Linked DNA regions of Callithrix jacchus. The protein of the gene in region 1 interacts with the protein of each later gene in a biochemical or structural test. Links are inferred from orthologs where the notes say so. Each region holds a gene or a part of one and is shown on either strand. Other genes may lie near its edges.

Region 1 (7,784 bases):
AACGTAAGGGACCTCTTCAAGGAAAACTGCAAACCACTGCTCAACGAAATAAGGGAGGACACAAACAGAGGGAGAAACATTCCATGTTCGTGATTAGAAAGAATCAATATCGTGAAAATGGCTATACTGCCCAAAGTAATTTACAGACTCAATGCTATCCCCATCAAGCTACCATTGACTTTCTTCACAGAACTGGAAAAAACCACCATGAACTTCATATGGAACCAAAAGAGAGCCCACATAGCAAAGTCAATTCCAAGCAAAAAGAACACAGCAGGAGGCATCACACTACTGGACTTCAAACTATACTACAAGGCTACAGTAATCAAAACAGCATGGTACTGGTACCAAAACAGAGATGTAGACCAATGGAACAGAACAGAGGCATTGGAGGCAACACAGCATATCTACAACCATACAATCTTTGATAAACCTGAGAAAAACAAGCAATGGGGCAAGGATTCCCTGTTTAATAAATGGTGTTGGGAAAACTGGCTAGCCATGTGCAGAAAGCAGAAACTGGACCCCTTCCTGACACCTTACACTAAAATTAACTCCAGATGGATTAAAGATTTAAACATAAGACCTGGCACCATAAAAACCCTAGAAGAAAATCTAGGTAAAACCATTGAGGACATAGGAGTAGGCAAGGACTTCATGAACAAAACACCAAAAGCATTGGCAACAAAAGCCAAAATAGACAAATGGGACCTAATCAAACTCCACAGCTTCTGCACGGCAAAAGAAACAGTCACTAGAGTGAATCGGCAACCAACAGAATGGGAAAAAATTTTTGCAGTTGACCCATCTGACAAAGGGCTGATATCCAGAATTTACAAGAACTCATACAGATTTACAAGAAAAAAACTAACAAGCCCATTCAAAAATGGGCAAAGGATATGAACAGACACTTTACGAAAGAAGACATATATGAGGCCAACAAACATATGAAAAAATGCTCATCATCACTGGTCATTAGAGAAATTCAAATCAAAACTACATTGAGATACCATCTCACGCCAGTTAGAAAGGCGATCATCAAAAAATCTGGAGACAACAGATGCTGGAGAGGACGTGGAGAAAAAGGAACACTTTTATACTGCTGGTGGGAGTGTATTAGTTCAACAATTGTGGAAGACAGTGTGGTGATTCCTCAAGGACCTAGAAATAGAAATTCCATTTGACCCAGCAATCCCATTACTGGGTATATATCCAAAGGACTATAAATCGTTCTACTATAAGGACACATGCACACAAATGTTCATTGCAGCACTGTTTACAATAGCAAAGACCTGGAACCAACCCAAATCCCCATCGATGATAGACTGGACAGGGAAATTGTGGCACATATATACCATGGAATATTATGCAGCAATCAAAAATGATGAGTCCGTGTCCTTTGTAGGGACATGGATGAATCTGGAGAACATCATTCTCAGCAAACTGACACAAGAAGAGAAAATGAAATACAGCATGTTCTCACTCACAGGTGGGTGATGAACAATGAGAACACATGGACACAGGGAGGGGAGCACTACACACTGGGGTCTATTTGGGGGAATAGGGGAGGGACAGCAGTGGGGAGCTAGGGAGGGATAGCATGGGGAGAAATGCCAAATGTGAGTGAAGGGGAGGAAGACAGCAAATCACACTGCCACATGTGTACCTATGCAACTATCTTGCATGTTCTGCACATGTACCCCAAAACCTAAAATGTAATAAATAATAATAGTAGCTACATCCACAATTATCAAATCCATAACCCTGGCTTTAGTCTGAGGTTCAAAAGTGTTAAAGCCCATTGTTTAAAACTATAACTTAATACCTTTTCTAAAGTATTCCTCCCCCAGGTCTAAGACAACACTTCAGGGATACTCAATAAAATGAAAGATTCTAACTCAGTTTCTTTGGCATTATCTAAGGCCATAGTTTTTTCTCTCTAACAAAAAATGTGAAAGATGTGGCCATATTATTTGATAAACTAGCATAAAAGATCTATTGTGTAGCCTACCTGATCAGCTACTCCTCCAGGCAGAATGGTTTTTACTATCACACCAGTTGCTTTTCCTCCTATGATGCCAAATCCCAAACCAGATCCATCATTCACCAATTCAATAGTTTCCACATGTTGCCAGTGAACCTACAAACAAAGCTCATATATGAATTTGTAGAAATTTGCAAAGAACTTTTTATATTACAGTAGAAATTTTTGTGATTATTATTTGGTTAATATTAAATAATTAAATTCAGACATAAAAATGAGCCCTAACAATGTCCCTTTCATTTGGTATACTTGCCTTTCAACAGAATGTAATGCTATGGATAGAACCATTCTTGAAATTATCAATGTATCATCATAATGATTTCATTTCACCAGTTAAAGACAGACACTGATTTGCAAGATCGTCTGTAGAACTTCTCAAAAAAAAAGAAAAAGATCAAGGAAAAAGGAAGGTCACATGTTAAGAATGTCTTCGCATAAACCTGCCTTGAGGCAGGATGCCAAATTAGATGACTTCTTAAAGTCACTGACAGCTAACTGTAACAATATAATTGTATAATTTTTAAAGCAAAATCAAGATTGTACCTGTCTACAGATAAAGTCAATTTTGTTAAAAGACTACATTTTTCATTTTTAAGGAATGCTATCAAAGAAAAAACTACACAAAGAAAAGTAATGGTTGTTTTAGAACCTAGAAGCTTTATCATACGTAAAGGCAAATATTCCAGGCTAAGGAAAGATGAAAGAATAGTTACACAAAAACTCAAGAAATGCAAAGAACCTACACAAATTAGAAACTTGGAGATAACCAAAAAGAACTCGAAAAATATGTTCTGTTCCTTTTGAAAATTGTAGGTACTCACCGGATTAGAGTGAGCTGAAATTGTGCTGGCTGCAGATGGGGAACGGGAAACTATGGGGCTGATAAGCTGAGGCAATGAGCCTCTGGCAATAACTAGTTGGACAGTATCTTTGGCTTTCTGCAGGATGCTGATAGCCTGCTGATGTGTAATCGTCTGATCAAGAGCCTGTCCATTGATAGCAAGAATTTGATCAGTTTCTTTCAATCTTCCATCTCTATCAAGAATGAAAAGGAGAATAAAAGACATCTGAGAGTTCTCAAGGAAATGACAGCTTCTTGGACATGCATGTTCAAGTCATTTTTAATCCTGTTTTTAATTCTCACACTTTTTTTTTCTTTTTTCTTTATTGCATTTTAGGTTTTGGGGTACATGTGAAGAACAAGATTGTTGCATAGGTACACACATGGCAGTGTGATTTGCTGCCTTCCTCCCCAATACCTGTATCTGGCATTTCTCCCCATCAATTCTCACATTTTTTAATCTTTTTCCTGCAGTTCTACTTTAAAATAATATGCTTTGGCTGCAGGTCAGCAATTCTTGTAAGGTTATTCCACTGCTACTCCTACTCAGCCCCTTCCATATAAAAGCATTCTTTATTTCAGCCACCCATTCAACCTACATTACATCTTGGATATTCCTATCTTCTAAAAATGAAAGTGGATATACATAGAGAGTTGGTCCTCTATATCCATGGTTTCCACATCCATAAATTCAACCAACTGGGGATCAAATATAATCAGAAAAAATAACACAATAATAAAAAATCATACAAAATTTTTAAATACAGTATGACTATTAATATTTACATAGGATTTACATTGTGTTAGGCATTATAAGTTATATAAAGACGATTTGAAATATACAGGAGGATATGCACAGGTTACGTACAAATACTACACCATTTTATATAAAGGACTTGAGCATCTGCAGCTATTAGTACCTGCAGGAGTCCTGGAACCAATTCCCCATGGATAATGAGGGACAACTGTAATAAATTGTTGCTTTTGGTATATAAATAATATGCAGCTCAATTTATTATGGATCATTTCTAGTATAGTAATTTTTAAAATCTAATCAAAAAGAGCTCATTTAATTAAAAATGAAAATAATGTTATCCTCAAATTTTTCTTTCCTTATCAAAACAAGTTATGACTATATTTAAAAGCTACTCTCACTTCAAAGGACTTGTTATTTTTATCACAATGTTAATGACTTGTAAAAACTGGTTAATAACATTATATTCAATTTTTTGTTTGTTTCTATTCATTATTATTTTTCTAAATTCTCACATAATGACCAAAACCTTCAGAATGGCTATCAAAAAGAAGATCCTGTGACCATCTCACCTATGTGCAACACTGCCCTCTTGAATCTCTTGTACAAATATTCCCAGTTCTCCTCTGTTTTCACTTCTTAGTCCCACAACACTAAACCCAAGGCCTCCAGATGGAGGTTTGAGGAGCTCAAAAACTTCTACATGGCGACCCTGTTTAGAAAACAAAGAAATAAATAAAATTAAAAGCCAGGCCATGCATGGTGGTTCACGCCCGTAATCCCAGCACTTTGGGAGGCCAAGGTGGGAAGATTACTTGAAGCCAGGAGTTAGAGACCAGACTGGCAACATAATGTGACCCCATCTCTATAAAAAATAAAATAAAACTCAGCTGAGTGTGGTGGTACACATCTATAGTCCTACGTACTCAGGAGGCTGAGGCAGGAGAATCCCAAGCCCAGGAGTTTGGGGCTGTAGTAAGCTATGATCACAACACTGAACTCTAGTGTGGATGACAGAGCAAGATACATCTCAAAAGAAACTTAAATTAAAAACTAATGATGCACAACAGTCATCTTATTAGAATCATTTCTTTGTTAAAAAAAAAAAAAGAAATGAAAAAAAATTTTTCCAAGGTCATTGTTAGCACTTTATCCTGAAGAACAATTTCTATAACACAACATATAATACTCAAATTTAAATGGTGATAAGGAAACTATAATTGAAAAACTCTGAACCATCTAAACTCCCACAAAATTGACTTCCTTTTTGTTCCAATTTTTTCAGATGTTATAAATATCACTATATTCTTCAAATTATCCACAACTTGATCACATTCTTAACTTATTTCAGGTATTACAATAACTAACAGAAAGAAATGTTCTTACCTGGGCCATATTTTTGATAAGCTGATCAAATTCATCACAAGCAGGTTTCCCATTAATGTGTAGAATACCAGATCCTGTAAGTGCTTCCAGATTCCCATTGTTTGGGGATAATAAAAACGATTCATTTTGCAGAGTAGGAATCACAGCTGGGCTGAGATGAGGAATGTGGGCATATTCAGTATTCGAAGTTGCTGAAGTCGAAATATTTACCTAAGAGTAATACAGAGATTATTAAGAATTTTGACATTCCATAAACTATTGCATAGAAAATATCCCAAGGGTATAAGTACATACATATGAAATTTCAAAATGTCCAAATCCTTTGATCCAGCAATTCTATTTTAGGAAATTTATTTCAAGGATAAACGTTAGGATAATAAAGATGTGTGTGCAGCACTAAATGTTCAATGCAGCACCATTTATTAGATGGGAAAATTAAAAAAACCAATTACCTCCAGGGTTGAATTTCAGGGTACTCATTAAAACACACACATAAATATATACATCCACACAAACATTTTTTTTTGTCCCCAGATCCCATGAAGTAACCTCTAAACTCTCAGAATTTCCTGAGTGATGGGGTGTCTTTCTTCTTCATGGTGGGCCACAGATATAAGCCCAAACTCTGAGTCAGATTTTAGTCATGTGGGCAGGACAATCAATCAATCACACCTATGAAATAACACCCCAATAAAAAATTCTTTAGGGGAGGCATAGCATTAGGAGAAATACCTAATATAGATGACAGGTTGATGGGTGCAACAAACCACTATGACACGTGTATACCTATGTAACAAACCTACACATTCTGCAAATGTATCCCAGAACTTAAAGTAAAATAAAATAATTCGAACACCAAGATGAGGTAACATTCCTGGGTTTGCAACACAGTCAAACACATTTCTACATGTGTTTGCACTTTAACCTAAGTGCTATTATGAGAGTCAAAAGTTTTAAAAAATTAAAACTTTATAAAGCAAAATGTTACAATAAAATAAGGTTAATTTATTATTGAAGAAACAAACGTTTTTGTAAATGTAGTATAGCCTAAGTGTACAGTATTTATTAAGTTATGTATAAACTCTATACATAAGAGTTTGTTACCTGTTCTTAAAAACAAAACAGGAAACTCATTAAGTTACCAAAGTTACCAAAAACTTAAACATTACATTGGCTATCTATAGCATACTAGATACACTGGCTATCTGGTGGTGCACCGTAATGTCCTAGGCCTTCACATTCACTCACCACTCATTCACTGATTCACCTACAATAACTTCCAGGCCTGCAGGGTCCATTCATGGTAAGTGTGTCCTATATAGGTGTTCCATTGTTTATCTTTTAACCATATATTTACTGCGCTTTTTCTGTAGTCACACAGATAATTACCATTGTGCTACAACTACATAAGGTACTCCATATAGCATCCTATACAGGTTGGTAGCCTAGAAACAATACCATATAGTCTAGTTGTGTGGGAGGCTATACCACTTAAGTTTGTGTAAGTATACCCTATGATGTTTGTACAAGGATGCAATCACCTAATGACACATGGCTGTACGCTCTACATATTGTCCCACATGAATTCTGGCAAAGTTATACTTTCCCAGGAAAATGAAAGCTTCCAGTTGGGAATCCGCCCATAATCTGCACTACGCATCTCTTTGTTTGGCTGACCCTTAATTGCATCCTTTCCCTACAATAGATCATAATCATGAGTATAACAGATTTCAGAGAATTCTCTAAGACCTTATAGTGAATTATGAAACCTCAAGGTGGCTAGGGCTAGGGGAACCTTGCAAACTTGCAGCTGATGTCAGAAGTGAGGGTGGTTTTGTGTATCCCTATACCTTTAACTTTGTAGCTGGACCCTAACTCACTGCAGTTGGTCTCAGATGTATGGGGCAGCACTAGCAGTCTGGAGGACTGTGCCCTCAAACTATGCTGTCTGGCTAGCTCTAAGTACAATGACACATGTAACAATAGAAAAGATCATCCCACTCTGGGAAATGATTCTATAATTATTTGTGTGTGCCTATTACAAAGAGTTTGAAGTTAAATCTAAATAGTAGATAAAGCAATGCAGTCAATCCTAATTTCATAATTATGCTGGATGCCTGGAATGTGACTTTTTATCTATAATTACATATCAGAAAGCTTACTTCAATGATGTTTTTGGGTCACTCTCTGACCTCATCTCCTAGCAGTCTATCCCTTCCCTTACCCACTAAGCTCCAGTTGTGCTCCCTGCCTCACTGTGCCTCAAAGTGCCAAGCTGTTCACTCTACCAGACAGCTATATCCTTCCCCAAATATCCACATACTTCTTTATTTTATTCAGGTGTGCCCAGTCTCACCTCAGAAAGGTCTTTCTTGGCATTCTTATCCAAGATAGCACCATTATACTCCATGAACTTACCCTGTCCTATTTTAATTCATGGCATTCATTACCACCTGATCCATACCCTGCTGTCATGAAGCTTTCATCCTAGCCAGTGGAGACAGACTAGAATGTAAAATCCCTCCAGCAGAAAAATCTGACTATTTTATTTTTACTATGCCCTCATTCTCTAGAAGAATGCCTTATACAAAGTTGATGTTCAACATACGCAGGCAGAAAAATATGTTTATCTATTTTTTAAGGACCTAACTCTAATCCAATCTGCTGAACAACCCTTCAAATATCATCTCAATTTTACAGATTATGAAATTGTTACACAGTCACACACCTAAGTTGTTTATGACCTAGATTTTTTTCAT
Region 2 (8,318 bases), about 52 Mb from region 1:
TAGAACTAATAAGCAAATTGAGCGAAGTTGCAGGATAGGAAATCAATACACAAAAATGAGCTGCATTTGTATCACTAATAATAAGCCAAAAAAAGAAAGTAAGGAAACTATTGTGTTTACAATAGCATCAAAACGAATAGCATACTTTGGATATATCCTCAGTAGTAGAATTACTGGATCTTGTTGAGATCTCTGCACTCTCATGTTTATTGTAGCACTATTCACAATAGCCAAGATATGGGATCACCCTGAATGTTCATCAACAGAAAGATGGATGAAAATTGCGTCATATATTCCTGATTGAATACTATTTATTGATTTAAAAAGAACTAAATTCTGTCATCTGTGGCAACATGGATGAGCTTGGAAGACATTATGTTAAGTGAAATAAGCCAGGAACAGAAAGATAAATACTGCATATTCTCACTCATAAATGGAAGATAAAATAGTCGACCTTACAGAAGTAGAGAGTAGAATAGTGGTTACCAGAGGCTGGGAATGGGAGGAGGCAGGGAGAGATAAACAGAGTTTGATTAACAGACACAAAAGTTGATCGATGGACATCTAGATAAGAGGAATAAGTTGTAGTGTTCTACAGCACTGTAGGGTGACTGCAATAAACAACAATTTATTGTACATTTTCAAATAGCTAGATAAGCAAACTGTGAATATTTTCAAAAATAAATGCCAAATGTTTAAGGTGGTGAATATGCTAAATACCCTAATTATATATTGTATACATATATCAAAATATCACACTGTACCCCATAAATATGTGCAATTATTACTGGCCAATTAAAAGTTATAATTTTTTTAAATTAAAAATATCTTTAAAGATAAACTTAGAAATTCACCTAAGAAAGTGAAAGACTGTATGCTGAAAAGCACAAAACATTGCTGAAAGAAATTAAAGATATACAAATGAAACAAAACAAAGAATACATGAATAAATAGAGAGACATCCTATATTCATGGATTGGAAGACTTAATATTGCCAATACTCCCCCACACTGCTCTTTAACCAATCAAATATTCTTCAGCTTGCTTCTGCATTCACCCCATAAAAGGCTTCATCTTGACTCCTTGGCACTACCCAATTAATAAATTGCTGTCTGCGCCAATAAAGTCTTTAAAATCTTAGTGTGCTGCAGTTTATCTTTTAGCAGAGGGAAATAGTGAGGTGGTGTTTAAAGAAAACTGTTTTGTAAGATGAAACAAGTTCTGGAGATGGATGTTGGTGATGGTTGTAAAATACTGTAAATGTATTTCATGCCACTGAACTGTACACTTTAAAAAAAAAACAGTTAAAATGGTAACATTTATGTCATATATATTTTACCCCAATTTTTAGAGATAAATAGTTTTCAAAAATTAACTAAAAGTCTTAAGAAAAAGAGGGCCGGGAGATCAATCCAAGATGGCCGACCACTAACAGCTCAGGATTGTAGCTCCCAGTGAAAGCCCAGAGAACGAGACGACGCCACACTTTTAGACAAATTTTCGTCACTCACCGATCAGCCGATTCCCAGTGGAGGAGCCCCACGGGTCGCTAGCACGACTCTTGTGGCCGCCGCAGTGGTTTTGCCGGCGTCTCGGCGCAGCAGCTCTTCATGCAGAGCCAACGGGACTGCTTCCCCTACTGACCGGAGTTTGGAGCTCTGGGAAGTCAGAGCCGCTTGTTGCGGACTCAAGAAGGAAGCCAGACCAGAGATTCCTGGGCAGAAGAGCACCATCAGTCTTACCGCTGCTATTTAGGCTGCCACAGTGGGTTGCTCGGATCCCAACACTGGGAATCAATAAGTCGGACGTCGACTCAGAAAACTAATTAGAAAGGCGGTTCATCTACAATGAAGGGAAAAAAACAGCCTAAGAAGGCCGAGTATACTCAAAATCAGAACCCATCAGCAACAGAACAAGCCCTGATGGAAAAGGACTCATCAGCAGCAGAATAAGCCCTGATGGAAAAGGACTCATCAGTAACGGAACAAGCCCTGATGGAAAAGGATTGTGTTCCAATATCTGAAGTAGGCTTTAAAAGGTGGATGATAAGAAACTTCTGGGAGTTAAAGGAACTTGTTCTAACCCAATGTAAAGAAACTAAAAACTTGGAAAAAAGATTAGATGAAATGTTGAAAAGAATAGACAATATAGAGAGGAATACAAATGAACTTATGGAGTTGAAAAATACAACACGAGAACTTAGTGAAACATGTACAAGCTTAAACAGCCGAATGGATCAAGCAGAAGAAAGGGTATCAGAGGTCGAAGATCAACTTAATGAAACAACACAACAAGACAAGAATAGAGAAAAAAGGATAAAAAGGAATGAGCAAAGTCTCCAAGCAATATGGGACTATGTGAAAAGACCTAATATACGCTTGATTGGTGTACCTGAATGTGACGGAGAGAATGAATTCAAGCTGGAAAATACTCTCCAGGACATTATCCAGGAAAATTTTCCTAATTTAGCAAAGCAGGACACTATTCAACCCCAGGCAATACAGAGAACACCACAAAGATATTCCTCAAGAAGACCAACCCCAAGGCACATAATCGTCAGATTCACCAAGATCGAAACGAAGGAGAAAATATTAAGGGCAGCCAGAGAGAAAGATCAAGTTACCCATAAAGGTAAGCCTATTAGGCTTACAGCAGATCTCTCAACGGAAACCCTACAAGCTAGAAGAGAGTGGGGGCCAATATTCAATATACTTAATCAACAGAACTTTCAGCCCAGAATTTCATATCCTGCCAATTTAAGCTTTACATTTGAAGGAAAAATAAAAATTTTTAGGAACAAGCAAGTACTCAGAGATTTTATTACCACCAGGCCTGCTTTACAAGAACTTCTAAAAGAAGCACTATACACAGAAAGGAACAACCAGTATGACCCTTTCTAAAAATACACCAAAAAGTAAAGAGCATTAACATAAAGAAGAATTTTTATCAATGAAAGGACAAAATAGCCAGTTAATATCAAACGGCAGCAACCCTAAATTTAAATCGACCAAACCTCCCAATCAAAAGATACAGACAAAATCTAACGGTATATCCAAAGATATACATAGACTCAAAATAAAGGGTTGGAAAAAAAAAAAACGTACCAACCAAATGGAGAGCAAAAATAAATAAATAAGCAGGAGTTGCAATTTTCACATTTGACAAAATAGATTTCAAAGCTACAAGGATACAAGGATAAAAGGATTAATGTAATAATAAGAGATCTTAACACCCAGATACATAAGACCCATAATGAGATTTAGATTCAACGAGACAGAAAATTGATAACGATATCCGGGACTGGAACTAAGATCCAGAACAAATAAACTCAATAGGGCTCTCCATTTTAAACACACAAAATATTCATTATCCACAAAATCTAACGATATATCTAAAGATATACAAAGACTCAAAACAAGGGGATGGAAAAAAGCTCACCAACCAAATGGAGAGCAAAAATAAATAAATAAAAAGCAGGAGTTGCAATTCTCACACTTAATAAAATAGATTTCAAAGCTACAAGGATGCAAGGGTAAAAGGATTAATACAACAATAAGAGATCTTAACACCCAGATACATAAGACACATAATGAGATTTAGATTCAACGAGACAACAAATTGATAAGATATCCAGGACTTGAACTCAGAACCAGAACAAATAAACACAACAGAGGTCTCCATTTTAAACACATAAAATATGCATTAACCACTTTAAACACTCAAAATATTGATCGGCCATTATTGAAACCCATTTTAGGAATGAAGTAATATTCCTTTTTCCCTCTTTTTCTTTTTTTCCCCTTCTTTTTCTCTTTTTCCCTAAAAAAAAATAAATAAATAAATAAATAAAAATTAAAAAAAAAAAAAAAGAAATACTGACATCAATATTAAAAGCAAAAAAAAAAAAAAAGAAAAAGAGGGCCAGGCACAGCCTGTAATCCCAGTACTTTGGGAGGCTGAGGTCCGTGGATCACCTGAGGTCAGGAGTTTGAGACCAGGCTGACCAAGATGGTGAAATCTCATCTCTACTAAAAATACAAAAATTAGATGGGCAAGGTGGCAGGTGCCTGTAATAACAGCTACTTGGGAGGCTGAGGCAGGAGAATTGCTAGACCCGGGAGGCAGAGGTCGCAATGAGTCGAGATCGTGCCACTGCATTTTAGCCTGGGGGACAGGGTGAGACTCTGTCTCAAAAGAAAAGAAAAAGGAAAAAGAACGCTACAGTAACACCCTAATTGCTTTCCTGTTTCTACTCTCACTGCTCTACTGCGCTACAGTGATGCTTTTAAAGAGCAGGTCATATCGTTCATTCCCTTGCTTAAAAACCCTGCAGTGACTTCCCACGATTCTCAAAATAAACACCTCTCTTCCTTAAAGAGTAATAAATAACTTTTATAAACTTTGATGAGTTAATCACATAAACAAATGGATAGCATTCATGGCTGGTAAAAAGGAGCACACACATTATTCAAAATAAAAATCTTTACCATGATCTGCAAAAGCCCAACCTGATTGGCCCTTCTTATGCATGTATGACCCTAGCCACATGGCCTTCCCTGCTGCTGGTCCAAGTCCCTGTGCTGAGATGCCTTTGCCCTGTCTTCCTCACTCCACTTAACTCTCTACTTAAGGGCCACTACCTCCCACAAGACTTCACTGGCCTCCCTTTCTAAAATAGTTATCCACACATATACTCCCCCTAACTCTGCTGTAGTCTGTTTTGTAGAGCTTATCACTAGCACTACTCTTTTTTTTTTTTCCCCCGAGATGGAGTCTTGCTCTGTTGCCCAGGCTGGAGTGCAGTGGCACGATCTCAGCTCACGGCAACCTCCACCTCCTGGGTTCCAGCAGTTCTCCTGCCTCAGCCTCCTGAGTAGCGGGGACTACAGGCACGCGCCACCATGCCCAGCTAATTTTTGTATTTTTAGTAGAGACGGGGTTTCACCATATTGGCCAGGCTGGTCTCAAACTCGTGACCTTTTAATCTGCCCACCTCACCCTTCCAAAGTGCTAGGATTATAGGCCTGAGCCACCATGCCCTGCCCACCATCACTACTTTTTTGTAGCATTAAATATTCATTTCTAAATTGTCAGATCCCCATACTATACATTTGTACTCACTTCTCAGACTCCTTTGTGTTTGAGGTCTGGGCTGGAATGTGGCCACCTCAGAAGAGCTGGTAAAGCCTGCAGCTGTCCTCGTCCTCTTCCCACTCCCAGCTCCCTCCCACGTATGAGGAGCTCCACACTTAGGCATGGGGAATTCTAGCCCTCATGTCCTTGTCCCCAATGCCTGAAAGCAGCTGCTCTTGGCCACCTGTAGGACGTAGGGCTATACAAACTTTATGCTCTGATGCAACTAGGGAACAGCTCATAGCATTTGAGGACATTTGGCTGGGGACTTCCCAAGTATCCAGAGCACAGTACAAACAAGGAAGTGTCCCTTAGCCCCACAGACTCCCAGCCCCCTCGGGTCAAGAAAGGGGTTGGATGAGGATCAGGGAGAGCTCTAATCTGTGTCTGGTCCTCATTCAGCCCTTTTCTGTCCCAAGGGGCTAGTTCTCTCTGGTCAAAGAATGGCACCAGGACAATGTGTTCTTATGCCCACGTCTAGGAGTAATTTGGCCTTCATAGTCCAACCCCAGATTTCCTTTCAAGTTCTATTCCTATCAGTTGCTTTCCCACTTTCTTCCCATGCTCCAGTCAAACTGAACTATTTGCTTATCTCTAAAAATAAAAAGCACTATTTTGGGGCCTGAGAGGAGCACAAAATGGTAAATAAGGGAACTGGCTGTATTGGAAAGAAATTAGCAAATGCTTTCTTGAAAATAAACAAGGCAGGCTTGGTTTTTTTGCTTGTTTGTAGTTCGTTCGCTGGAACTGAACAGACCTAAACAAACAGGGAGTCCAGTCCCTTCATGACACCCATGAAGAAACAGAGGCACAGACTTGTTGAGCAGCGTGGTCATGGCACACAGCTAGTCACTGTCACACCAGGCCTGGAACCCAGAGCAGGGTCTGGAGAGCTCCCTAACCATCTCCAACACAGCCCTACATACGCTGTTCTCCTTGTGCCTTCTGCTGCCCCATGGCCATGGGAAAGACAGGCCCTGGTTCTTGCTATCCCCTCACCCAAGATCTCCTTCAACTCTGAAGACCACTGATTCTAGCGCCCTTCCCCATCCCTTTCAAGCCCAACTCTAGCCTAGTGCCAAGAGCCAAACCTCACCCCATCTCTAGTTCCCACAAGTGCCCCAAATATTGAAACTTGGGGGAAATAAAAAGTAGGTCTTCCTGGAAAGCTCCAAACTGCTGCTGCTGTGTCAATAAAAAGGAAGAGGCCCTGGATCTATTTCCTGCATGTCCCAGAGTTCTCCAACAATGACTATCACCAGGACGATGTAGATCTTACCTTCACACTCCAGAACTGGGGGTGAGGGTGAGGGTTTTCTGTGCAGCTTCTTCATGCAGCTGTGGAGAGGGGCTGGGACCAAGGTTGCTCCTCTGAAGACAAGGTTCTTCCTGGGCCTGGGATCCTATTTCTAATATTTTATTTATCTCAATTAGAACTCACGGAACTCACAGTCTACACATATTATATTATCATTCTCATCTTTAGGGGGCAAAAAGCTTGAAACAACATTTAATTCTACAAGCAATCACCATAGATATTCATTCTCCTCCAATAAAAGCCCAATTGGCTGGCACAGTGGCTCACACCTGTAATTCCAGCACTTTGAGAGGCCAAGATAGGCAAATCATGAGGTCAGGAGATTGAAACCCACCTGGCCAATATGGTAAAACTCCATATCTACTTAAAATACAAAAATTAGCTGGGCGTGGTGGTGCATGCCTGTAGTCCCAGCTACTTGGGAGGCTGAGGCAGGAGAATCACTTGAACCCAGAAGGTGGAGGTTGCAGTGAGCCAAGATTGCGCCACTGCACTCCAGCCTGGGCAACTGAGTGAGACTGTATAAAAAAAACTTAATTAATTGACTAATGTTCATCTCATTAAAATAAATAAAGTGGGCTGGATGCAGTGGCTCACTGCTATAACCCCAGCACTTTGGGAAGCTGAGGCAGGAAAATCTCTTGAGTCCCAGAGTTTGAGAGCAGCCTGAGCAACACAGTAAGACCCCATCTCTTAAAAAAAAAAAAAAAAAAAACATTAGCCGGGCATGGTGGCATGTGTCTATAGTCTCTACTACTCAGGAAGCTGAAGTGTGAGGATTGCTTGAGATGGAGAGGTTGTGGCTGCAGTGAGCTGGGATCACACCATTGCACTCCAGCCTAGGTGTCAGAGCAAGACTGCCTCAGAAAAAGAAAATTAATTAATTGAAAAATTTAGAATAAACAAAGTGAAAAAAATCAATCCTACTCCCAGAGCTAACTTTTGAATATCGGGTTTTCAGGGAGCAGAATATGCTTCAAGAATATTCGAAAGATAATGAGGGAAATGCTTTCTCCCCACCCCCTGCTTCTGAATCTGTAAACCTCAGAGAAAGGAGAAACCTATTCAAGACTTTCTTTTATTTTTTAGGACAGCCTGGGATCTCTAAGCACTTTATAGGCAGTAACTTTGCTGAAGAGTGCCCAGTAGACACTCTTTCTTTGTACAATTTGGACAGATGATATAAGGAGATGCAGTGTCATTTTAACCAGAAGTGTCAGGAGGGAACATGAAATCATTCTTTTAGAGTAGATGGGGAAGGGTCTATGACTTTAAAAGGAAAATAATCCTAAGGAGCAGAGAAAGGAATAAACACATTATCCAATGTGCTGCTCTTGATGATTTAAAGGAAAACATGGCAGTATGTTTAATGTATAGAGCACACAGAGAACTTCTCTGGAACTCTCAAAGGCCTGTAGAAGTAATCAAGAGATGAGCATCAACTCCAGTTTTGTAGGAGATCTCCAAGTTTGTTCTCAGTTGACAAAGTGAGTTGAAGAGAAACAGGACTAGTTTCTTGCTGATTACCCTAATGTACCAGCCACAAGGCTTTTAGAGACATAAGCTTAAGTCTAGAGGGTATGTTCTTGTAAACACACACCTGTGATTTTTAAAAGATCAGAAACACTAATAAGTTGGTAGGGCATCAGAGACAGAAGTTTGTTTTCATAGTGCAAGATTAAATACAAAGGAAAAAGTCAACGTGAATCATATTTCTATTTAGGTCATTAAGAAAGAGGAAGAATGGAAACAAAATTTGAAAACTCATGGAATTTAGAAAGCCACCAACTTTATGTGCAGGAGGGCCTGTTCCGTGATAAGACAGAGAAAAGAATTACCTAGTATAGTGGGCTAGACATTGGCACCA
Region 3 (8,269 bases), on another chromosome or scaffold:
GTGAGTCCAACTCACAGTAGTAGCATCTGCCTATCTAGTCATCTCTACATACAATAGCATTATTTCCCTGACTTCATTTCTGTCTTAGTATTATCTCTGTAACTCCCCTGAGCTTCACTCAGCTTCTTGTCCCTCAGTCTCTCAGCATTAACAGCACTTTCTCCTTTGCTCTACTTCTTTATTGGTAGCTGAATCTCCACAAGAAATGTTGCATGTCTATCTCATTGCCTTGCCAAGCTGCATATCGAGGACTAATAGACATTGTCCATTAATATCCTCACATCCACATGCAGATTTGTTCTGTTCAAAGGCCAGTTGTTACAGTATGAAAGAAAAATTAGCCAATTTCTAAACAGAGACAATAGTTTGTTGTTTAACAGCACGGCCTCTCGAATAAAACTGCCTGGTTTCAAGCTTGGTTTTGTTCATTCAGTTTGAGCAGATTAACTTCTTTATATGTCTCAGTTTCCCTAACTGCAAACTGGATAGTAGTAGTACCTTCTCATGGGGTAGTCATGAGGCTTATATGAGTATATACCTGTAAACCTCTTAGAACTGTGTAGTGCATGGTAAATGTCAATAAATACTGGCCATTGTTATCATCTTTTATATCTGTCTTATGAAGACTTGCTAACTTGGGCTAACTACTTTGATTACAGGAAGCTATACTTGAAGAGTATTCAGTGAATCTTGATTCCTGAGATAAAATGAGATACATACATTTAAAATACACTTGCAAAAGATTTGGCATTAAAAAATATATTATGTTTTATGAAAAAATAAAGGAAACCCTAGTCAATTCATTCATTGCTACCCTTGTATAGACATTAGTTGACATTGTCTTCGGTTTCAGTGGTGTTCAGTTTTCACTTCATATTTTTACATTGAGCTCACCCCTATACCCTGCCACTAATGTTAATTCAACTCTGAATTTAAATACCCATATATGACTGGTGGCTGTTGCATTGGACAATGCAATACTAAAGGCTTTCTAATAGCTTTCAATAAATTTATGCATAGTTCTTAATAGATAATAATAACAATATGTTACCCAAGGGGGTACTTGTATTTAAAAGAGACAACTACTAAGATTAAAGAGGAAAATTCCTGAATGTAGAATCAAGTTATATGGAAAACCATGAAGGCTACTAGTCGAGGGACCAGGCATATAGAGAATTCCTTTCTAGTGTCTCTCAAATTAGACCATGTAAGTGGTCATCTATGAATAAGGTTAACTATAGTTAACAAGGTTGACTGTATCAAATGCCAGCTATATGTACAATGCTGTGATAAGCAAGTATTTTAGGAAACAGCAGATGGCACAGTCTTAGCCACAGCTGAGAGGAGGAATAAATATCAAGGTTGAAGTAGAGATGCCGGGTAGAAGGAGACAAAAACAGAATTAAAATTCCATCTTACGTACATCTTATTTGAAATCCTGCCTTCGCTCTGTCATTTGTGCATTAAAATGTCAGAAGTGATTGGCAAAGAGTTGTTGTAGGTGAGCATTAGTATTAAATCTGCTAGTGACTTGCCAAATGATGATGCAACTTAACCACTTGGTTGGTTTCAATGTTATTTGTCTAGAATGGAGATGACTAGACTGTTTTGCAGCAATGTTTTCAGTATATGAAAAAACCTTCTTAAAATGTCTTGAAGAATGGCAGTGTTGGAGAGATCCATGACTTGAACACACATTAGGCTGTTGACTGGTGATTTCTTTTTGAGGTTCAACAGTACAATATGTAGGTAAAATAACATAGGTAGCCTAGAATGCTAACAAATAAATAATATTATTAATATATAATATTAATATAAATAATATAAATTATTGCTTAGTGCAACAATTTAAAATTTTCAAAGTGCTTAATACCCATCTGTTTCACAACAATCACGTGGGGTTATATATGATATTGACATTAAATATCACAATAATATATTATTAACTTTAATTTATGATGAAGTTTTCCTAGTTTGCTTATGGCTACCCAGGCAGCTAGAGTGACATAATTTAGCAGTTCTTCCACTAGACAACACTAAGCCGTATCAGATGCTTTACTAAAATAATCTCAGTGCACATACATTGTGCTTTTGTGAGATATTACATTGCTATGAAAGTGAGGTGGTAAGATGCTCTTTAATAATACTGGCCAAATCGTCTGGAGCTTCAGGAGCCATTAGAACCTGGGAATTAATTATCTCCCAGTGGGCTCAGCAAACTGCAGCCTCCTTCAGTCTCAAACCTTGAACAACTTAATAAGAACAGCTGAGGGATATTTAATGTTGGTTACTGATAATCTCTCCTCCAAATTTTGTTTTAATTTTTGTGTTTCCCTTAGCTGGAGAGGGATGACATTCCCTTGAAGGAAATACATGGAACAGTAAAATTACTGAAGTTTACTCAATTATAATGTTGGGCTAATCCATTAGAAGGTTAGGCTTTTCAGATTTTACTTTTATTGCTACAGAAATAAACACGCTCTTCCCAAGTAGCCTTGGAAACATAAATAAATATTTCTTATTCTCTTGCCTTAAATTAATTTTTGAGAATACCTTGAGAAATTGAGGGGAAAAATCTAATGGCACCAAAAAAATGGAGGATAAGAATATCTTCGTCATTCATAGACTTGCTATGAAGACTATATGATGTAATATACATATGTAATAGTCCTGGATCCACGTACGGCATCCAGAAGGTTCTCAGAAATATCAGTTCTCACCTCACTTATGATGAATTCATATTGCACAAAAGCCACATTATCTGAAAAAGTCATCAATGTCATCCATGCCACCTCTAGATGGAGATAAACCCCTCAAGAAAGCATAGAAAGGGTTAATAACCCTCTCTAGATAATGCAGATAGAAAAACACTGTTATTGTTGCTAAAGCATCCCAAATCCTACCTTGACGACATTGCAATCACAAACCTTATCCACCTTCCGAATTTCAGGACTTGCGTTGGGCTTGCTGTAGATGATAGATGCCATTAGGAAAGAAATCATGTTTATGAAACAAATACTTTCTTCCCTCCCCAAGAGGATCAGAAGAATTTATTTAGGGAATGAAAACTATAATTAAATATTCTATAACCTGCCTCCCCAAAATATGGACAAAATTATTTATTTCCCCCCACCTGTGGGGTGGAATGGGTGGAGGGTGATTGTAGATTATTCCAAAACAACCAGGTGCTAAGGAAATAATACTCTTCAGAAAAGACAATATTCAGTATGACATAAGTAGTGCAGAAGAGATGCAATGATTGCGGTATATATCATTTTCTGTGGGACATGTCAGTTGGCCTTTTGATTTGTCTACACATATGTAGCCAACTACACAGTAACACCTTGTTTCTATTGCACTCATATTTTGCTTGTCAGAATGGCTGATAAGCATGTAAACTTCTTCATGAAAAAATTAAACTGTAGAACCCAGATATCTTTTATCATTACTGTGTGTATGAGGTCGCAATTGCCTGCAAACTGGGGAGCTCAGAGGTTACTCACTGCGCAACATTTTCTCTCCCCACATCTCCCCCCACCCATCATCTTAGCTCAACTGTATACGAGCGTCCCTTGGTTAGCCTGCCTAAAAGGTATGTGGTAAGGGGCATATGCACTTAGTGGCTCAGCAATCAGAAGCCTCCTTGGATGGGACATGTACTGGGAAATATTAATGAAGAAGCTGTGCGATACTAGCAGTGATTCCCGACAAAATTAGGTATCTTTTAACTGCCGAATGTCCCTATCTGAATTTTGAGTCGAAGAACGCTGTCGCTTAAAATACAGGGTTCTCAAACACAATGCAAATGTCTGTCACCTTAGGTCACATGCTACCCAACAGGAAGCAAAAGGCAAAGGGCATGGCGCAGAAAAGAAACAGACACACAGACACGTTTTGCAATGACGAACTTTATGTGACATCAGGAACGGCAACCTGTTCTCATGTTTAGCAATTCCGAGGTACCCTGTAAAGAATGCTTGTCAGGTTAAACTGAGTAAAGGGACAGGAGTAAGAGGCAGCGCTGCAGACTTTTCCGCAATCCTTTTCAAAATATAGAACTGTAACCAAATGACTTAGATAAGCTAATAATAATAATAAAAGGTTCACTGGATGCCCTTATCCTCTCCTCTTAAGCTTAGGTGACCATCAGCAGCGCTGTTCAAATTCAGCTAACAGCTGTTATTAGAACGAGACTCAGATCCGCAGTGTGTATCTCCCCAGAGTTACGGATGTTCTCTGAGACCCTCCGAAAAATCAGGGTCGGTTTTCAACGAGAACATAATAAAGGATCCTTAGTTCCCCCTCTATCCGCACCGTCCCAAACCTTGAGCCCCCTCCCACTTCCCTGCAGTAGGATTTCTTAACATCGTAGTCGGTCCTCCAACTCAGTTGCACCTTCCGCAGCCCGACCCTCTACTCAGCGACATTGTGTTCAGTTTCCCTCCTTTCTCTCCTCCCCCTCCTCACTTCTGACACCCCACCCCCGCCTTCCGTTTCAGTCTCGGCTTCCCACGCGCCAGGTTTTCTAGACCCCCGCCTCCGCCCAGCGCCTTCATCTGGAGCCCCCGCTCCCAATCCCCTTCGAGACTTCAGTGCTCCTTCCTTGGAACCTAATCGCCCCTCTTCTTCCAGAGACTCAGTCTCCACGCGATTTGCGCGTTCAGAGTCCCTCCCCACAACCTCCACTAGGGCCAGTGCAGTCCTGCAGGCTGCAGCCATCCGGGACCTGTCCCCGCTCCCCACCCCATCCCCCCACAAATCGTTAGGGTCTAGGCTAGCAATGCCGCCCAGGGCTCCAACTTACCACTAGCGTCCGGGAGGAAGATGAAGCAGCGGTCGCCGCGGCGGCAGCTAGACGAGAAACGGACTCGGCTGCAATCGCCCAGCGGAGCCCGCGGCAGTCGGTGCGCTGCGCTGCGCTGCGCGCCGCAACCTCACGCCTCGGCGGAGGGAGAGGAACGGAGGGAGCTCGGCGCAATGGGAAGCGCCGGCGAGTCGACCTCCTTTAGGCGACCGTGCGCCCCCCGGCTAGGTTTGGCTTTTCTCTCTCCACTATCTTACTCTAGCTTAGTAACTGACCACCTCCAGCATCTCTGCACTAATCGCTTCTTCTTTCTTCTTCGTTGGCCCCTAACTAACTACACTACTCTAAACGGACGAAGACCATCACACGAGCGCCACGACGATCTCGACGACTCCGACGACAACGAAGCACAGACAGAGAGAAGAAAAGTTCATAAGCAATCAGCAGGTAAGGGGAAAGGCAGGCCAATGGAGCAGCCAAGGCTAGCAATTCAGCGGCTCCAAAGGCAGAATCGGTGCATCTGAGGAAGGAAGCGTCCTCAGCGAGCACCAGACCGCCTGCCTAGCGCGGGTGAATCTGCACCGCGCTCTTGAGCCAAACGCGGGATGAGGGGAGGAGCCAAAAGAAGCCAATCAGCGATCAGCATTACGTTGCCCCCGGGCCTGTTTGGACCGGACTGTTAGTGCATCTGGAGCCTGCTAGCAGAGGGCGGGAGACCCCGTGGTGGGGGTGGGGGTGATGATTAACTTAATTCACTAGGCCTGGAGAGTGGGGGGCAACAAAGATCAGCTATGGCACCTGATGGAGGGAGAGGGAAGGTACCCTCAAAGATTCACAGCATACTCCTCCTCAAACACACACACACACCCTGTACATTTCATTTCAACAAACAGTATTTCCAAGTCTTGCAAATTTCACCGAGCTTTGAAACTCCTTTCAAGGGTCTCTGTTCCGACTCTTGTCCATTTCTCCAATAGTAGCAACTGAGGCACTCACAGGGTCAACATTTGGTGAGTGCACAAAGGCCACAACCCTGCCATAAGGCCCACTTCCCCATCCTTGCCTCCTCATCTTTCTTCTATTCCCAAAGGGGAAAGGAAAGATCTTGGCCTTCGACCCCCAGGAAGGCACAGTTTAGTTCCTTTCTAGACCCTACAAGCCTCGTTAGAAAGACACCTTGAGGGCAGCCCTTACGGGTTTCCAAGGGGCTGAACCTATCTCTCTGGCACAGGGACTTGGGCCCACAGCCAGTCGGTTGCCCAGCAGTTGCAGGGCGAGGGAGGAGGGGGGCTGTCAGTGCAAAGTTAACGTAGCAAGAGTTGAGCCACAAGGCTCTCTTCTGGCAACTGCTGGGATGCCGAGTGCAACGGGGCAGGCAGAGCTCTTTTTCAAAGGCTCCCAGGCGCCGCCGGGCAGGTGCCTGCGGTGTCCGTGTCCTAGCGGCAGCGCAGAAAGGTGAACGGGGCTGCCTTGGCCAAGACGCCTCAGAGGCACCAAAACCAAGCTTAGTAATGGAGATGATCCCACTGAGAGTGGGGACAGAAGCAGATCTCTCCTAAGGGGGAACGAAGGGGCGAGCGGGGGTGGTGGTCCCGGGTGACGGCCAAGGTTTCCGCGGCCGGGTACCGAGGACCAGGGTGTAGAAAAGTAGAGATTGGCTCCTCGCCAGTCAGAGGTAGCTGGACCGAAGCAAAAGGTAGAGACTCCAGTTTGGCTGTTTATGACCGGACGGCAGCGCAGCGATTGTGTAGATGAGGCTGCAGGGAAACCTTGCGGAGGCTTGGAGGTCCTAATCCCGCAGAATGCAAAAGGGGTGGGAGCGGCCGGCCGTTCTGAAGGCTAAAGTTTGTCTCAATAGCTCCAAAAGTTAGGTATGGAGAAGTAGGTAGGAGCAATGATAAGGGTCAGGCCCTCTTCCTTATTCTGGATGCCCTAGGACCAGTTAGTTCTCTCTGTGTCTCCGTTTCCAGATTTGTGATAGGAACTGTCCGGTCTATTCCAAAAGGGGCATTTTGGGAATCCTGATTCCCTCCATCGCCACTGAATTCAGGCTCTGAAATTTAATTTGACATTGAACATACTGTCCACACCCAAGTTCTGTTTCGCAGAGCAAAAACCCATCGCAGTTTTCCTGAAGCATCTGTTGAATGCTACTATATGATGCCGCACAGGTGGCGGCTACAGCGCTGCCAAGTCCACCGACTGCACAACGCTCTCATCTTTAGAAATGCTTTGGTAGCGAACAGTAATTTATAAATATCGAAGAGAAAACGTATGTCTTCTCTTTAAATAATTAAGCACTCATCTTTAAAAACTCCCCAAGTGTCCCCTTTCTCTATGAATGTGGAGTGCTTAGTTTTGCCTTTCCTGGCGGGACTTGTATTTATTTTGTCAGAGGCTGAGACATGTATATTACTTCAAAAAATGTAAATACAAATCCCTGTGATATGTTTGCTAAGGCAAAATCTGCCGAGCAAAGAGTGCAAGATAGCATCCACCAAAAACTGTTCTCGCTTCCCAGCTCCCGGGGGGAACCGGCTTGGAGAAATGGACCATGATAATAGCAATTATGAGGATGAAGATAATAGTAATAATAGTTTTTATTATATATATGTGTGTGTGTGTATACACTCACACTCTGCTCTTAAGGCTGTTCTCTCCTTCTCGTCAAAGGCAAAAATGCCGAGAGAGACAGGGGTGAAGCCCACTTGGTGGTTGGGAAGGCTCCCGGAGCAGCAGTGAGAAAATTAGCTAGCCACGCGGCTTGCTGAAAGCTTGCCTGGGCTTCGGAGTTCGGGTAGAAACAGGCAGGCAAGTTCGCCTTTGAGCGGCGCTCGCCGAGCGGCCCGGAGTCTGTAAGACTGAGCCGAAGCGGTACGCGGCGAGGCTGCGGGTACCGGGTTCGGCCAGGACCGAAGGCTCCGCTTTCTTGGCATTTGCGGCGCGTACTGCCTCTACAGGTTCTCTAGGCTGCGGCTTGGCCGAGCGCTCCAAGATCCGACAGAGTTTGGAGATTCTGGCAACACTAGGTCGGAGAATACAGCGTGAGGAGAAATTTTGAGCGCACTTTAAGACTGGGGAAGCAAACTCAAAACAAGCACATGCTGGCGCTTTCTGTCACTCTGTAGTTGCCAGAGAGGTTTTCTGGAACTCCTGCCTAAGGAGGCCGGGGGGAGTCAGCGCAGCGTTTTCACTGCTTTCCCTTCCCTTCCTCAGGTGTTTGGAAATTGTCCCTGGAAAGAGGAGTTATTTACAGTGAATTCCTCGGGTTTGAGGAAAATCCCCAATGCCCTCCGGAACACAGTTTCCAAATATTCTCAGGTTTCTAAGGATGTGGACCTGTTTTTACAACTTTCGAACCAGAGGGTTTTCCTCCTACCACAAATACATATGCTTCCAAAACTACTGGTTTAGAAATTCAGGAAAGAATTAAAGAAGATTGTTACTACGTAGGGAAAAAGTTCC
Region 4 (7,784 bases), about 51 Mb from region 1:
TTAAAAATGAAAAGATGAGAAAATAACCTGGGGACATTCAAACAATAAAGGTAGAGTAATATTGGTACCACATAAAGCAGAATTCAAAGTCCCAAACCTGTCTTGGGGTCAGGGAGACATAAAGCAATTGGTGAGAGGCACCAAGAGAGCCAGGAAGTGAAAAGTTAAGATTCTGGAGTGAAGAGAAGAGCAGCAAAGTAAGGTAATGCTATGAGCTACCTTTCCACTCAGGTGCTTGCTAGTTTTTTAGAGGAACAGATTGAGAGACTGAGGAGCTAAAGAGAGTTATCAGTAGTTTTATGATGTTGAGGATATAAAAAACCCAAATGCCCATTAATGATAGACTAGATAAAGAAAAGGTGGCACATATACACAGTGGAATACTATGCAGCCATAAAAAAGGATGGGTTCAAGACTTTTGCAGGGACATGGATGAAGTTGCAAACCATCATTCTCAGCAAACTAACACAGGAACAGAAAACCAAACACGGCATATTCTCACTCATATGCAGGAGTTGAACAATGAGGAGAGGGGAATATCACATACCAGGGCCTGTCAGGAGTAGGGGACTAGGGAAGGGATAGCATTAGGAGAAATACCTAGTGTAGATGAGGGGTTGATGGGTGCAGCAAACCACTATGGCATGTGTATACCTATGTGACAAACTTGCACATTCTGCACATGTATCCCAGAACTTAAAATAATAAAAAAATTCTCATGTTAAATGCAATGAAGTGTTCTGGATTAGATCCAGGAGCAGACAGAGGATACTAGTAGAGAAAGAGTGGTAAAATTTATAGTTTAGATAACAGTAATATATTGATGTTAATTTCTTGGTTTTGACAAATGTGGTGCTGTCATATATGAAATGTTAGCATTTGAGAAAACTGGGTAAAGGGGATGCAGAAATGTTCTGGGGTGTCTTTGCAATTTTTCTCTAAATCTAAAATTGTTTCAAAGTAAAGTTTATTTAAAAAAAATAAAAGAAAATTGGAGTTTAGAGCTCCTCAAAATGGAGAACACATCAGGCTTTCATTTGGGATCATGAAAAAAATACATCCTAGTTATAAAGGCAAACTGGAAATAGACAGGCTTTTATAAGAATATTGCCTTAAATAAACTCAATCCCTTATTGGATTAAGGGGACCTGTGCTTACTTTAACTGCTGCTAAAACTAAAAGACCCCATTCCAGAGAAAGACAGTATCAACAAAGCACCCATAAATTTTCTTCCAGTGTTCAGTGTTCAATTAAAAAGAATGATCAGGCATATGCAGTACTCAATTTCAAAAAAATTACCAGGCGTACCAATGGACAGAATGGGGAGAGAAAAAAACCACAATTCAGAAAAGAGAAATCCCTAGGTAATCCCACAACCCAGAAAAGAGATATCCAGATCCTTGTGATTAATATTTAAGAAAATAGATGAAAACATGTAGAATTATTCTAAAAACCTGGAATCTATAAAAAATTAAATGAAAAAATCTAGAATTAAAAGTGTAGGGACTAAGGAACACAAGAGATGGGTACTGCAGCAGATTAGAAATAGCTGATGAGAGGACAAATAATGGAAGAAAAGTCAGTAAAGCTATCTAAACGAAAAGAAGAGGAGAAAAACATAGAAAATGTAGAAGTGTTTGACATTGCATGTTCTCACTAATATGTGGGAGCTGAATGATGAGAACACATGGACACATGGCAGATGTCAACACACACTGGGGCCTGCTGTGGTGGGTATGGGGAAGGAGAGCATCAGGAAGACAGCTAACGGATGCTGGGTTTAATACCTGCTCTGTTCAGCAAACCACAGTGTCACGTGTTTACCTTGGTAACAAACCTGCACATCCTGCGCATGTACCCCTGAACTTAAAAGTTGAAAAAAAACCATGTAGAAGTGTTTGAGTTATAAAGAACTTGGGTAAAAAATTTAGCATACATGAAACTGAAGACCCAGATATGAAGAAGAGAGAGAATGGGGGCAGAAGCAATATTTGAAAAGATCATGGCCAAGAGTTTTCTCAAAGTGGCCAAAGTCACAGGTTTAAGAATCAGTACATACACCATGCAGGATAAAAACAAAACTAATTCACAACAAAGTATATCATGGTAAAGTTGCTGAAATAGAGACAAAACATTCTGAAGCAGCAGGGTGTGGCAAAAGGTGATGGTTCTGAAGGAACAACAATAAGACTGACAGCTGGGTTCTTGCAAATAAGAACAAAATATAAGCTTGAAATGTTGAATTTACTACCTAGAAAGTGCTGGAAAAAAAAGATGACTGTCAGCCTAGAATTCTATACTGAGCAAAAATGTGCTTGAAATGAAAGCAAGATAAAGATGCCTAGAATAAGAAAAACAGAAAAAACTACATGATATTCTAAAGGAACTTCTTTAGGAATGAGGAATCCAGGCAAAACCATGAAAATGAAGAAAGCAATGAATAGCAACAGAGGGCTAATATGTGAGAAATAGTGAACAGAATGGCCGTAATGTCTTATGGGCTTAAAACAGACAGACAGCAAATGGGGAAAAAACCCACAAGACAACAGGGGTAGTTGGAGTTAAAAAGTTCTAAAGTTTTTGCATTATCCAAAAAATGTTACAAGTAACAATATGTTTTAGAGTCTAAGTGGAGTGTGATAATCACTAAAATAGTTTGAAACAATGGATAACAAGCTCATAAAGAGGAATGATGAATGGACAATTCTTGATTAGTCCAAAAGAAGGCAAGAATGAAAGGAAACTAGAATATAGAACAAACAGGAAAATGGAAAGCAAATGGTTTTAAACCCAAATATGAGTTAACATTATATGTAAAAAGACTAAATACTCCAACTAACAGACAAAGATTAAATTAAAAACAAAAATTTATATGCTGCTTATAGGCTAACACTTTATATTTAAAGTCACGAAAGGTTTGATTTTAAATTGGATAAAATAAGATACATCCAAAAATGACAATCAAAAAAAGTCAAGTAGATTTTAAGCCAGGAAGCATCACTAAAGTGGGACATTTAATGATAAAAGAATAATATAAAAGAGAAATTTTGTATGCAGCTAATAGCCCAAGAAGAGGTAGAAAATGTAAATGAAATAACTATTGAAGTTAGAGATGTAACTTAAAATACTATCTAAAAAGGAACCAGGATGAGAGAGATTTGGAACCAAGTTCTACAGAACCTCTCAAAAATATATAATTTCTGCTTAAATACTTCAAGACAAAGTGTAATACTTCTCTATCACTTAAAGCTAGAAAAGGAAATATTGTAAGAATCATAAACCAACCAACTTTGTCATCTGAACTCAACATACCAGGAATGCAAGCCAGTATTTAGAAATTTATCAAGAGTGAACATACCGATAACTTGAAGAAAAAATATCAATAGTGTCTGAAAAGGCTTTAGTCACTACTAGAGGAAAACAAGTTAGATCATATTTTAAAATTCCAGCTACACTAAAGATCCAAATTAAAAGAAACAACACACAAAGCAAACTAAACCTGAAGCAACAAAATAATCAAAACAGAAACACTAGAAGAAAACTCAAGAGAATATTTGTGCTCAAGGTCCTTCATTAGATCTGCCTTTTTCCTTTTTACATTTTCCACTTGTCACCTCCTCAGGGCACACACCTCAGAGATTTCTAGCATAGATTTGATGTAAGTTTTTTTTTCTCTTTTGTTTCCTTATTTGTCTTCTCCTATCTCACTGTGAGAGATCTTTGAATGCATATCTTTTTCATCTTGGTCTATCCAGTGCCAAGCACATAGTAGATGCACATTAAAAGATTGGCCAATGAATGATGACCCCTGCCCAGGACCACCTCAACCATTCCAGCCTGCTTGCCTCCTGTGGTGATAGCCAGAAAGAGCCAGAGGCAGATTATCTTTTGAGTAGTGGAAAGAGCATGGGCTTTGGACTCAGATTAATCCATAATGACTCCTGATTATAAGTAATATCGTCCTGTGCAACTGAGTTCTCTGCAGCTCATTTTCTTTAAGGTGCTTTGTATACTACTGGGTCTGTACTCAGTGCTCAGAAACTGTTTGTCCTTACTACTGTTGCTATCATGAAACTTGAATGAGATGGGGAGTCAGTGTAGCTGAGGGTAAAGGATGGGTGATCTTCCCAGCATGTCTCACCAATGGCACAGTACATTAGAGTAAAACTAAGGACAGGGTATCAGGGTGAAAATAAATAGCTTCATTTGCTTCCTTTGCATTATTGTTGATTCTTCTACCTATCACACTGACCACCCTGAAAACCTGTCTCAGTGGTCTTCAACTCTGACTGCTCCTTAGAATCACCTGGCCCCGCCCTGGGCAATTAAATCAGAATGCTCCCCTGGGGCATTTTATGTGTAATAGGGATTGAGTGGTTACTGGCCCTTTACTCTCTGGCTCCTAGTAGAATGAGTCCAACTTGCACAGTCCCAGAAACTGCAAGCATTTTCTTGGAGCAAAAATTGTTTCCTAAGGAAGGTACAGAAAGAACGGGGCTTTGTGCTAGAAGTTTAGAGTCCTAGTCCTGCTGCAAGCTGAAGGTATGACCCCGTAAGCTGCAATACTTCTGCAGTCTGGTTCCCTAGCTAATCAAATAAGCATCATAGAATCTTCTACCTCAAACGGCAATGGGAAGTTTAAAATAGAAAGTAGGTAAGACTTTAAACATTTGAAAGTGACACAAGTGTGATTTGTTAGTGTTTCTATCAGATGTTCCCATCAGGATTCAACAAAATCCTCACTGTGCTACTTACTGGCTGTGGGGCTTTGCACAGCTCATTTTGCTTTTTGAATCCCAGTTTCCTCATCTGTAAGATGGAGCTGACTACTCTCCAAATTGCATATTAGTTCCCATTGCTAGTGGCAAAGTAAGCAATGGGAGCTAAAAAATACAAGATGCTATATTGTTGTGTTTGCTCTTATTATTAGTACTGTTATTCCACTGAATCTAGAGACTCTTTCGTTACCAACCAAGCTGGCGAGGTTGACAGGTACAATTGACTCCACTGCCTGGGAGCTGCCCCCTTAGCTTTCATTACCTTCGCTTTTCTGATGTTGGGTATATGAAGTCACAAGATCAGTACTGGTAAGAGATGAATGTATATAATCTAACAGAAGCAAGATGAAATCCTTTGGTGTGTGGTATCATCAAAGGAGGATGGTCTATAAAGGCACTAGGGTGGACTGAAAAGCAGCCTTGCCCCTAAGCAGATTCTGGCACTTTCCTCTGGCCTCGGCTTTTCCCTCCATGCTGCAGCACATAGTACCTTTCTTTAGAGCTCAGAGGCTTTCTTTCTCTATTGGAGTGGTCTGCATCCTTTCATTGACCATAAGTCCAGTGATTATAAAAGTTGAGGTCTTTGGGAAACCCAAGAATTAGAGTTGTGGACTTGAAAGTGAGAAACGGGGAAAACAGCACAATTATTTCTGATTTGGCTCTGCTGTTTATAGTCTTGCCTGTGCAAAGCAATACAAATTCATGCTGTCAACCAGTGATATAAACAGAATTTTCTTTTCTGAGGCGAAATTTGATAATTATGATGTTGTATCATATCTTGCACCACCCAAAACAGTAGATTGAGGATGTCAGGTTTCAGTACAACAAAATGGAACAAGTCTTTTCAGAAATCACGAACTGTCATTTTGAATGAGACTCTGAAATATGTTCCCACTTACCTACTGAGATAGTCCAGACAGCAATGATTTTCAGAAATGCCTTCGTTCTGGAGTTGAAGCGGCTGTGGTGGATGGGATTCTGGATGGCAACGTAGCGGTCCAGTGAGATGGCGCAGAGGTGCATGATGGAGGCCGTGGAGAAGAGCACATCCAGGTAAATCCAGACTGCGCAAAGCTTGCTGGGCAGAGGCCACCGGTATCCTATGAGGCAGAAAGTTGGTGTCAGCAAACTTATGCCTCCTAGGGCATGTGGATCCCTACCCTATGACAATTTCCAGTTCTGGGACAGGCACAGGTGGTAGCAAAGAGCAACACAGTATATTTTTCGTATTTGAAAAAAGCCACTAACAACTGTACTTAATTATGATATGTGAGCACTGGCTGATGAATACAGGCTTTGGACATTTCTAGTGTCTGGAATTATGGGAGTGTGGCGTGGTAAATCGGATTCTCTCTCTTTGAAGGTTCTCTTTCTTCCCCCTTACACCTGGCAAAACATTTTTTTTAAAGTGACTTACGTCAAAAGTTGTGACGTGTTTTGGCTCCTCTTCTGTAGCACCTCTCATGCCATACTGTCAGGATTTATTCACACATTTACCTGGATTGTATTTCCCTAAGGTCGGTCTCACCTCTTGGCCATTATAACCATCCAGTCCCATGCAGTGATGCTTATGGACATTTTGCCATCCAGTCCCATCAGTGATGGCAATGAATTGCATTGGTGCAAGTGACTAAATGATTAAAAATTCAGATTGTGAATATGTCTATTTGTAAAAATGAAAAATAATGACCTAATAAGGCTTTGGGTGCCAAACTCAAATTTGGGGTATCTGTGGGAGAGCTGAAGACAAGGGTGAAGAAAAATAAGGGAAGGTGTCCTTGCTCTGAGCTTTGTTTTAGGGAGGCATTTCTCAAACTTCAGTGAGCATCAGACTCTCCCACACCTCTTAAAACACGCATTGCTGGACCTCCCTCCAGAGGCTCGGATGCAGTTCGTCTGGAGCAGACTGTAGAATTTGCATTTGAATTAGCAAGCTCCCGGGTGATGCTGATGCTGCACGTCCAGAGACAGCGCTTTGCGAACCGCTGCTTTAGGACGGTGGCTCTCACCCCTGGCTACACATCAGAATCACCCGGAGAGCTTTAGAGAAGGTCCTGATGCCCATGCCAAACCCAGCCCAATTAAATCATGTCTGGAGGTGGGCGTGTGTGACTGAGGTAGACATGAAATGTCAAAGCGTTTGCAAAGCTCCCCAGACAATTCCAGTGTAAGAGACAGTGCAGGTCACCTGCTACATTAGGAGGATTGGACTGCCTTATGGACATAAGCAAAGTGTCCTGGTTTTGTGTTTTGGAGGGGGATCAAGCAGTTATGTAAACCTTAATTAGTTTTGGTCACAGTATAAGCAGCGAAGTTGCTTATACTGTGATCTGTCTGCATGTGAGAAGGAAAATTTTAAAGTCTACTTTTCTTGTTACAGACACATAAAGCCGAACAAACTCTCCAACCAAACGTATACTCTCTACCAAAATGCCGCGAGGGATATTTAGACAAGTAAAGAGCATAGGTACAAGTCTAATTTACAACCGTTCACTTGAATTATTTGCAAAGCGCTTGAACTAACGAAAGCCTTTTCTTTGCAGCGCCTGATGGGGGAAGCCAAGCTCTGTCTATTCGGAACAGATGTTGGCCCCCAGAGGGGTTTTCTATACAAGGAGTGGGCCCAGGCCTCAGTCTGTATGTCCGCGGCAGGATAAGGAGAGGGCATTTCCTTGTGGGAGAAGTCCCACGCCCCATGCCCCACGCCCCGTGGGCTGGGGGTGGTGGAAGTAGTAGCCCAGGGAGGGGCGGGGCTCCGGAGGGAACAGGCTGCACGCTGAGCGGCCACCGCCAGGGGGCGTCCTTGCTCCCCGAGCGGATGGCGCCGCGGGTCATCCCACCCTCCAGCCGCTGTTTAGGTTCCTGCTCTGTCACTCCTCCCACCCCCACTGGAGTTTGCCCCCTAGGGGAGGAGGTTTAGGAAGCAAGAACCTTCCCGGGACGCCCAGGAAAGAACAGGCGAATTTAATGAAATCATTCTGGTGTGGCATTTAAATGGTCAAGCGA

What was found.
Region 2: the proteins of MPDZ (region 1) and CYSLTR2 interact in a test that uses a peptide from one of them, tested with the Homo sapiens proteins (2 studies listed by IntAct, with this or other methods). The link is inferred for Callithrix jacchus from reciprocal best matches to the Homo sapiens genes MPDZ and CYSLTR2.
Region 3: the proteins of MPDZ (region 1) and HTR2C form a complex in vitro, tested with the Homo sapiens proteins (3 studies listed by BioGRID and IntAct, with this or other methods). The link is inferred for Callithrix jacchus from reciprocal best matches to the Homo sapiens genes MPDZ and HTR2C.
Region 4: the proteins of MPDZ (region 1) and HTR2A form a complex in vitro, tested with the Homo sapiens proteins (2 studies listed by IntAct, with this or other methods). The link is inferred for Callithrix jacchus from reciprocal best matches to the Homo sapiens genes MPDZ and HTR2A.

The regions. Positions count from the first base shown.
Region 1 is NC_133502.1:119,760,119-119,767,902, forward strand, and holds part of MPDZ (multiple PDZ domain protein), read right to left. Parts: intron 5,236-7,784; coding exon 5,026-5,235; intron 4,352-5,025; coding exon 4,212-4,351; intron 3,080-4,211; coding exon 2,866-3,079; intron 2,141-2,865; coding exon 2,012-2,140; intron 1-2,011. UniProt on the Homo sapiens protein: Member of the NMDAR signaling complex that may play a role in control of AMPAR potentiation and synaptic plasticity in excitatory synapses. Promotes clustering of HT2RC at the cell surface.
Region 2 is NC_133502.1:67,302,012-67,310,329, forward strand, and holds the start of CYSLTR2 (cysteinyl leukotriene receptor 2), read right to left. Parts: upstream 5,362-8,318; 5' UTR 5,122-5,361; intron 1,843-5,121; exon of another isoform or gene 1,715-1,842; 5' UTR 1,512-1,714; intron 1-1,511. UniProt on the Homo sapiens protein: Receptor for cysteinyl leukotrienes. The response is mediated via a G-protein that activates a phosphatidylinositol-calcium second messenger system.
Region 3 is NC_133524.1:110,814,724-110,822,992, reverse strand, and holds the start of HTR2C (5-hydroxytryptamine receptor 2C), read right to left. Parts: upstream 5,368-8,269; 5' UTR 4,805-5,367; intron 1-4,804. UniProt on the Homo sapiens protein: G-protein coupled receptor for 5-hydroxytryptamine (serotonin).
Region 4 is NC_133502.1:69,162,895-69,170,678, reverse strand, and holds part of HTR2A (5-hydroxytryptamine receptor 2A), read right to left. Parts: intron 5,879-7,784; coding exon 5,678-5,878; intron 1-5,677. UniProt on the Homo sapiens protein: G-protein coupled receptor for 5-hydroxytryptamine (serotonin).